Linked DNA regions of Caenorhabditis elegans. The protein of the gene in region 1 interacts with the protein of each later gene in a pairwise test. Each region holds a gene or a part of one and is shown in the gene's direction. Other genes may lie near its edges.

Evidence for each region. Proteins that work in one complex are often made in the same cells at the same time.
Region 2: the proteins of dyf-2 (region 1) and bbs-9 interact in a protein complementation assay, tested with the Caenorhabditis elegans proteins (one study listed by BioGRID).

The regions. Positions count from the first base shown.
Region 1 is NC_003281.10:13,684,784-13,688,539, reverse strand, and holds the start of dyf-2 (WD repeat-containing protein dyf-2), read left to right. Parts: upstream 1-2,000; 5' UTR 2,001-2,094; coding exon 2,095-2,106; intron 2,107-2,163; coding exon 2,164-2,252; intron 2,253-2,644; coding exon 2,645-2,710; intron 2,711-2,782; coding exon 2,783-2,917; intron 2,918-3,083; coding exon 3,084-3,283; intron 3,284-3,539; coding exon 3,540-3,756. Other genes in the region: cul-2 (Cullin-2), read right to left, coding at 666-809, 861-889.
Region 2 is NC_003279.8:6,920,925-6,924,680, reverse strand, and holds the start of bbs-9 (Protein pthb1 homolog), read left to right. Parts: upstream 1-1,707; 5' UTR 1,708-1,725; coding exon 1,726-1,813; intron 1,814-2,281; coding exon 2,282-2,349; intron 2,350-2,395; coding exon 2,396-2,528; intron 2,529-2,992; coding exon 2,993-3,300; intron 3,301-3,473; coding exon 3,474-3,660; intron 3,661-3,710; coding exon 3,711-3,756. Other genes in the region: C48B6.9 (uncharacterized protein), read left to right, coding at 71-261; C48B6.10 (Small integral membrane protein 15), read left to right, coding at 1,011-1,101, 1,348-1,442. UniProt on the Caenorhabditis elegans protein: Component of the BBSome complex. The BBSome complex is thought to function as a coat complex required for sorting of specific membrane proteins to the primary cilia.

The DNA.
Region 1 (3,756 bases):
TTTTCTTTGGAAAGTACAAAAATCTTTTTTTTTTTCAAAAATTCTCATGTTTTTTTCCCAGAAATGGATTTTGTTCAAAAAATACTACCAAAATGGTTTTAAAAAGTATGTTTAAGAGGTTATAAGATCATCAATCCGATTTTGCAACAATGTTTTTTTAAATCGATTTTTCGGATAATCCTGAATTAATCGGAAAATAAGTGAATGTTAGTGTTTTGGAGCAATTTTTTACAATTCTTGGAATAATGATTGAGTTTTTCAGTGAATTATACACGTGAAATAAAAAAAAATAGTTTTGTCAAAAAATTTTCGGATTTTGTGGACAAAATCCTCGAAAAACTTTTTTTCTCTGTCAAAAATCGAATTTAGGATTGTTGCTTACAAACAACGCGATTGCTGAAAATAACTTCAAAAATTGATTTTTTAAAACATAACATTTTTACAAAATCGGATTAATAACAAAAAGGTAATTTTTGCCTTATATATAAATAGTTTTTGCACAAAAACTTTAGATATTGGCCAAAAATCAAGACATTTTTGAACAAAAAATCCCAAAAAATCTTTTTTTTCAAATTAAAAATTCGAAAAATCTGTTGAATGACAGAAATGATACTTTCTGAAATTTCTATCACTGGAAAAAATCAAACTTTTCCTTCAAAACTTACCTAAACTTGTGATGCCACTGAACATTGGTGATCGGCCGCAAATTGATGATATCAATGATAGATGGTCTCAACTGCACCCATACTTTGTCAAATTCCACAACTTTTGGCTTCAGTGAGTACATAACCTGTGGACGAGGTGGACGACTGAAAATGATGACAATTTGTGCGAAATTTTCAAAAAAAAATAACGGGTACCGTAAGGAAACTTTTGTGGAACTTGCCATTTTTACGGAAAAAGCGAAAATTTTTGAAATGCGGATTAAAAAACTAAACACGAAAATTTAATTGATAAAAAGAATCACGTGATTTTAATTATTCTTTCTTTTTTTAATTCGTTCAATTATTTAATATTCAAACCGAAAAATGAGAAACCAGGGGTCATAAACCAAATAATATCGATCGATGCGCAGCAGACGCACTCACATTTTCTTCAATATCGGCTCAACGACGGGAAAATTGTCGTCAGAAATTGCCTTACGGCGGCCAAGTGTCGTACGATTCGATGTCGGCTGTGTATTCGACGCCAGTTTTGCCTGTGGACGGTGAACCTCGGACCGGTTTCCTGTGGAGGTTACACTGAAGATTTTCGGGGATATGGTGGAGAAGCTGAAATTTGATTTTTAGAGAAGATATATTGAAAAGAGATAACAAACGTTAAAAATATATTGAACGTCATATGTTAGAAGTTGGCAATGACAATGAAAAATGTGACATGTGAGAAAAGGAGGATTTTAAAAAGGAAATCTGTTTAGAACAAAAATTAAGAATAATTTTCTGAAGTCTAAAATTTAAAATTAAATTAATATTTGAAGTTATTAAAGGTGGAGTCGTTTTGGAATTTGATTATAAAGTTTTCTCTAAAAATTTTAATATTGAAAAATTAAAAAAAAGAATACCCTTTTGGCATTTTTGTGCATTTTTTGGCTAAACTTGGAATAAATGGCCAAAAACCAAAATAAAATCGGAGCAGTGCTACAGTACTAATTAAAAAAACTACTGTAGTTTTCGCTATGAGATACTTCTCAAAATTTAGTGTACCCGTAATGCTCTCCCATTACAAATGTATTTGCCCCAGATGTGTAAATGAATAATTTTATCAAATATTTTTGTTCGATATTCACATAAAAAGATGAAATTGCGGTTTGTTTTTTTTTCTCGAGAATCCAGAAAATTCTACTAATTGTCATTATTCCCAAACCGGGAATGATCAAATCCCCTCTTCCACTTCCCCTGTTCTTTCCTCAATTTGCGTGCTCAACACACACTGTGTAGCCCGGTTACCAAGGCAACAACTCCCCAAAGGCTCGGGTAGCTCAATGATTTGTACTTCATTTTTTGTAACCATTATTTGTAGGCTCGTGACATAAGTGACAAATCATAGGGGAGCAGTGGCAAACGTCGAAAACAACGGAGATCTTCATTCATATAAATGTCATTAAAGGTAATTCCGTGTACTCTCACAAAAAATCAGGAAGTATTTAAATGTGTTTCTGCTCAGCTTCAATATCGAAGAGGCGAAGAAGAGCACGGAAGTGGACCGATTATTCATCGATGGAGACCAAATGGGCATACTGTAGCTGTTGCATGGTTTGTTTATTTTTTGTTTAATTCTTATTTTTAACAGTATCTTTTTTAAAGATTTTTCTTTAAAATATTCAAAATTCAAAAACTCCAAAAAAGACGAAAAAAATCGAGAAAGAATTTAAAGCCAACTTTTAGAAGTAGGATTTTCAATTTTGGCTAATTGTCCTGTTTGATTTTTTTTCCAAAATGGGAGCTTCATGACCAATGCGTTTGCAAAGACCTTGATTGGTTTGAAAATGGGTGGAGCCAATCGCTGATTGTTCAGATTTTTGAAAATTTGAATTTTCATCATTATTTCTCAATTTATTATTATCGGTTCTGGAATTTCTGAATTTGAAGCTTTTTAAATGCATTTTAAAGCTGAGCTTTTCCAAGCAATAAATTATACTTTTCAGCGCCAATAACACGGTCATCTATTACGATAAGAAAGGAAATGTTATTGACGCGTTGAATCCAACTGGGTGAGTTCAGAGTTTTTTGAAATGTAAAGAAAAAAGAAGATTTTCGTGATTTACACTTTTTTCAACTTCCAGAAAACTTATCGACATAGCTTGGGATAAGGAAGGTGATGTACTAGCGATTGCCGTAGCAAATACCGGGACTATTTATCTATGGGATGTGAACTCGCGGAATACAGATACTGTTGAGAGTGGAGCGACCTCTTCAAAGTGAGTTGAAAAACGGGGGCATTTTCTAAATACGGTTACAAAATATTATTTCAAAATTTTGAAACTGTGAGATTTTTTGGAGTTTTCAAAAGATTACAGATTTTTCGTTGTATTTCTACGTACTTCAGATTTAAAAAGTGATACACCAAAACTTGCTTCATTCCAGAGAGCTCCCAACATGTCTTGCATGGTCCCCAAGTACTCCTACACTGGTAATCGGCAACAACGCAGGAAATATCGTCGTCTACAATCATCGAACGTCTCGGCGGATAGCCGTGATGGGAAAACATCAACGAAGTGTCACACAGATTACAGTAACCCCGGAGGATTATGTAATTTCTTGTAGTGACGATAATACACTTTCAGGTTAGAATATTTCCGTTCAAATTATATTCGAAAATCATGTTTTGGAAAAAAATTGAAAACAGTCAACCCAGAGAAATGAATTGAATGAAAATATAGTTCCTCCGATTTACTGGGTATTATTGCAAGAGGTTTTAACTTTCCAAATAAATTTGACCTCAATTTTATATTTATTTCAAGAGAACAATATTAAGATGAAAACCAACTCTCGAAAAAACGTGGCATTAAAAATTGATACAAGTAATACCTAAATTTGTAGTAACCACACTGGAGGGCACCACAGTGAGCACAACGACGACAAACGGAGAGCCCACAAATATGGATTATGGTTCCGTGAATGGAAAAGGTGGAAGCGGTGTCACGATGGTCAGCGTGGTTATAGGGAAGAAGATTCTGATGCTCGCGCATTACAATGCTCTCGACGAACCCGTGAATCTTCAGTTTCAGGAGAAATATGGAAATATTCACTCCTATAG
Region 2 (3,756 bases), on another chromosome or scaffold:
GATTATAAAAATTCAAAAGAATGAATTCGCTAGAATACAAGAAACAACTCTGCAATTCTAATATTTTCAGTGCTAATGCTCACAGTCTCAATTGACCCATCGCGAAGTTTGGCCTCAAAATGTGTATCGATTACTTTAGGATCTTCCGCCGTCTTTCTTGCCACTTGCTTCGCCGTGAAAACCCTCTATTTCTGGGCAAATCATTCTTGTGGGCACGTCTACCGCGAGGATTGTTACAATTACCTAAGCACACTGGTCTGAATGTATTATTTTTATAGCTTGTTATTCTACCCACTTCTATATTGAGCTTTTTCATCACGCAAAGTTTCTCAAAATTGACACCAATGATCTGATTTATTTCATACACATAAGACTAATAATGAATTCTTATTGAAATCCTGATTAATGGATCTTTTTTAGTTCATTACTAATACAAGGCTTATGTTCATGAATTCGAGGGAAAACTAAAAGAAAACAGAACAAAAATGACGGAGCAGACATAAATCAAGATGCGGATAAATAGTAGTAACATACATAAGAGATATCTATTTTGTGTTTTGCAATATTTATAAATATTGTTTTTTTTTAATTTTAGTAAAAAAGTTTGAGAAGCAAGTGAGAAAGTATATTTTCAGAAGAGTAAAAAAAAACAAAGATTTGCAAGAGAAAAAAACGTTTTCAAAATTGTGTTCTGAATGCCTTTGGACGCGTCGCGGTGGCGCTGCGTGTTCTTCCAGCATGGCATTTTTTCCAAAGAAGAAACACGTTTGCATTTGTTCGTCGCCCATTTTTATTCGTACATTCCGTACAAATTTTATCAGTTTCTGATAGATTTAATATTGTACAATGAGAATTTCCTATTTTTATTTGGCATTTCGCAAGTTAAATCATTTAAAAACAGCTTTTTGTAGAGAAAAATACTGAAAACTACAGTATACTCAATTTTTTGTGTTCTTCAAATTAAATTTGTTTCATTTATTTTTATTATTTTCAGGTGTTAGCTAGCAAAAATGGTTGAGCTTGGAGGAAAAGGGCCATACTCGACATCGTTCGATAACTCTGTCTTCATCATCCCCGCAATCGTTATTGTAGCCGTTTTCGGTGAGTATATTAAAACTAAAAATAACAACGAATCTCGCAATAATTTACAATCTTCAATAGTCAAATCTTTTTGGTCGGGCTATTTGTTAAGACCAACATAATTTTTGAGTACTGTAGGTCTAACATGTTTTCCTTTTTTTGAAGATAGGCTAAGTTCCATTAAAAAAACATGCTTCTACCGTATTCAAATTGATAAAAACAATTCACACATCCATCAAGCAGTTGATAGAAACATAATGTTTTCAGCCTACGCCGTTATCAAGCTCCGTGACACCACTTTGGCTAAGGATAACAAAAGCACGGCTCGTCAACGCCGTGAGGAGAAGAAGAAGGCCAAGTAAATGTACAAAAACAGGACTACATCCAAAGTTCACATTCCAAAGACAACTCGACATACAATTTAACAATTTATACTTCGATTTCCATTTGGGTTTTTTTGTATTTATTTAAAAGTTTTATTTGATATTAATAACGTTTTCTAATGTAAAAATAAAATTGATGAACGGATCTTGTTTCTCCATTCTCTACACGCTGCTCCATATGGTTTCCATGACAACACGCGCACAGCAGTGAGCAGGTGAACATCGACTCTATTGCTTACTCTAGGGCACGCTTCAGTCAAAAATGTCGCTTTTTCGGCTCGTCGAATGGGTTTCACAAACAATTCCTAATACGTCAACTATATTGAACGCTTCATTTTTTCAAGATAGAGGTACTTTTTTCAAGATGTCAAGGTCTCCAGTTCGATGTCATGGTTGTGCAATTTTTTTTGTTGAAAAAAAAAACGAATCTCAATTTTGCTCCACTGAGTATATAGTTTTCGACGTTAAAATAGTAACATCAGTAGGATTTTTCCAAAATGCACTCAAAATTAATTTTTGGTCAAAAATTTGGCACATTGCCAAATTATTGAAAAGTTGGTTTTTCTTTAATTTAGAGAATTCTTAAATATTCCAAGCTTGAAAATGTTTGAATATAAATAATTAAAACAAATAGAATGATGAACTTGTGGAACATTTTTAATTTTGGTCGGTTTCCAAAATCATGATAGGTGAAAACTGACCATTCTTTTTTTGACTAAATATAAAATTTTTCAAATATTTGGAAAATTTTCACAATGATATTTGGTCATCTTATTACTATCGAAAGGCTCTAAACGATTCCCCCGTCATTATTCCAGAGCAACTTGTTATTGGAGGAGAAAACGGTCAAATTACGATCTCAGATCCAGGATTCAGGGATACCAATGTGACTTTTAAAAGTCGAAAGATTGCAAAAAATGTGGTAATTTCAGGCGCATGTACTGTGTACAACTGAAACTAAATATGCTATACTCCAAATGGCATCTGATAACTTTCTACCTTCAATGAATAATATTCTTGCCGTCTTATCACCAACAAAGTTAACCTATTACAAAGTTCATTTTGGTAAGTTATGTATCTATTCAGCTGTTATTTATCATACAGAGTGGCTCATAATTATGACAAACAGATGTGGTATCATAAAAACTGTTTTTTTGCAAACTAGGTCAACTCCAAGATATTCCTGATCCAACATTACATTAATAATTGAATACATCTTTCTAATTCGTTAATATAAAACACGTTTTGATAAATCGAACTATGAAATCTATTTTGACAGGCTCCATATTTTTGAGTCTTTTCATTTTGAAACCGATAGTTGTTGATACATGTTTATTTAACTTCAAAGAGAGATAAATACAATATTTGATTCGGATTGTCTTAATAAATACGGGTCATCCTGTAATATACAAAAAATAATAGGCTCAAGTACGAAACAAGGCTGTGCGGCTGGTAAAAAAATTCGGCTGTCGGCTGATGCCGACAGCCGACAGCCGCACAGCCCTGGTACGAAATGGTTAAAATTTCAGCAAGTCCTGATGAAACCCTCGCATCACTTGATGAGATATTCTCTCATTCTTTTTCAACATCTGCATGGAATATGTGTGTAATACCAATTGAAGAATCAACTCCACAGATATTAGTGCAATCAATTGATTGTAAATTATCTTTGTTTCAAGGAGATCAATGTGTTTTTTCAATGGTTCCATTGAGAGCTCTTCAACCAGGACCAATCGGTTACTGTCAGACTACACAAACTCTTTTTGTTGCAAATAATGGATTCTTAGCTGCTATCAAATTCAGTCTTATGTCAAGTGGATCGCAGAAAAAGATTAATGTAAGCTGTGGACTATTGAATATTTTTCGAATGTCCAATATCATCGGGAAACTAAAAAGTATTGAGTTAATTACAAATAATAAACCCAAGCTGTCGAATTTTGATAACGCTGAACATTTTTTCAAATATGCTGACTTTACACTGACAGTAAATTTGAGTCTTCTTTTTTTCAGTATGACTGGTCTTTTAATCTGGGTGATACTGCAATACAAATGAAAGTAACCGAAGGATCTAAACCAACAACCATTGTATTATGCCGCCGACACGTGTCTGCATTTAATGCAACTGGATCAGTTGTCTGGCAGATTCGTTTAGAAGCTGTTGGAATGGCAATGTGTCTTTATAGATCACTTCTGATTAGTAAGATTTCATATATTTTCAAACTTTTATTAATGTTTACTCTCAATCAGATAACACTCAATTCAATCGTTTAATAGTTTCAACATCTGACGATAC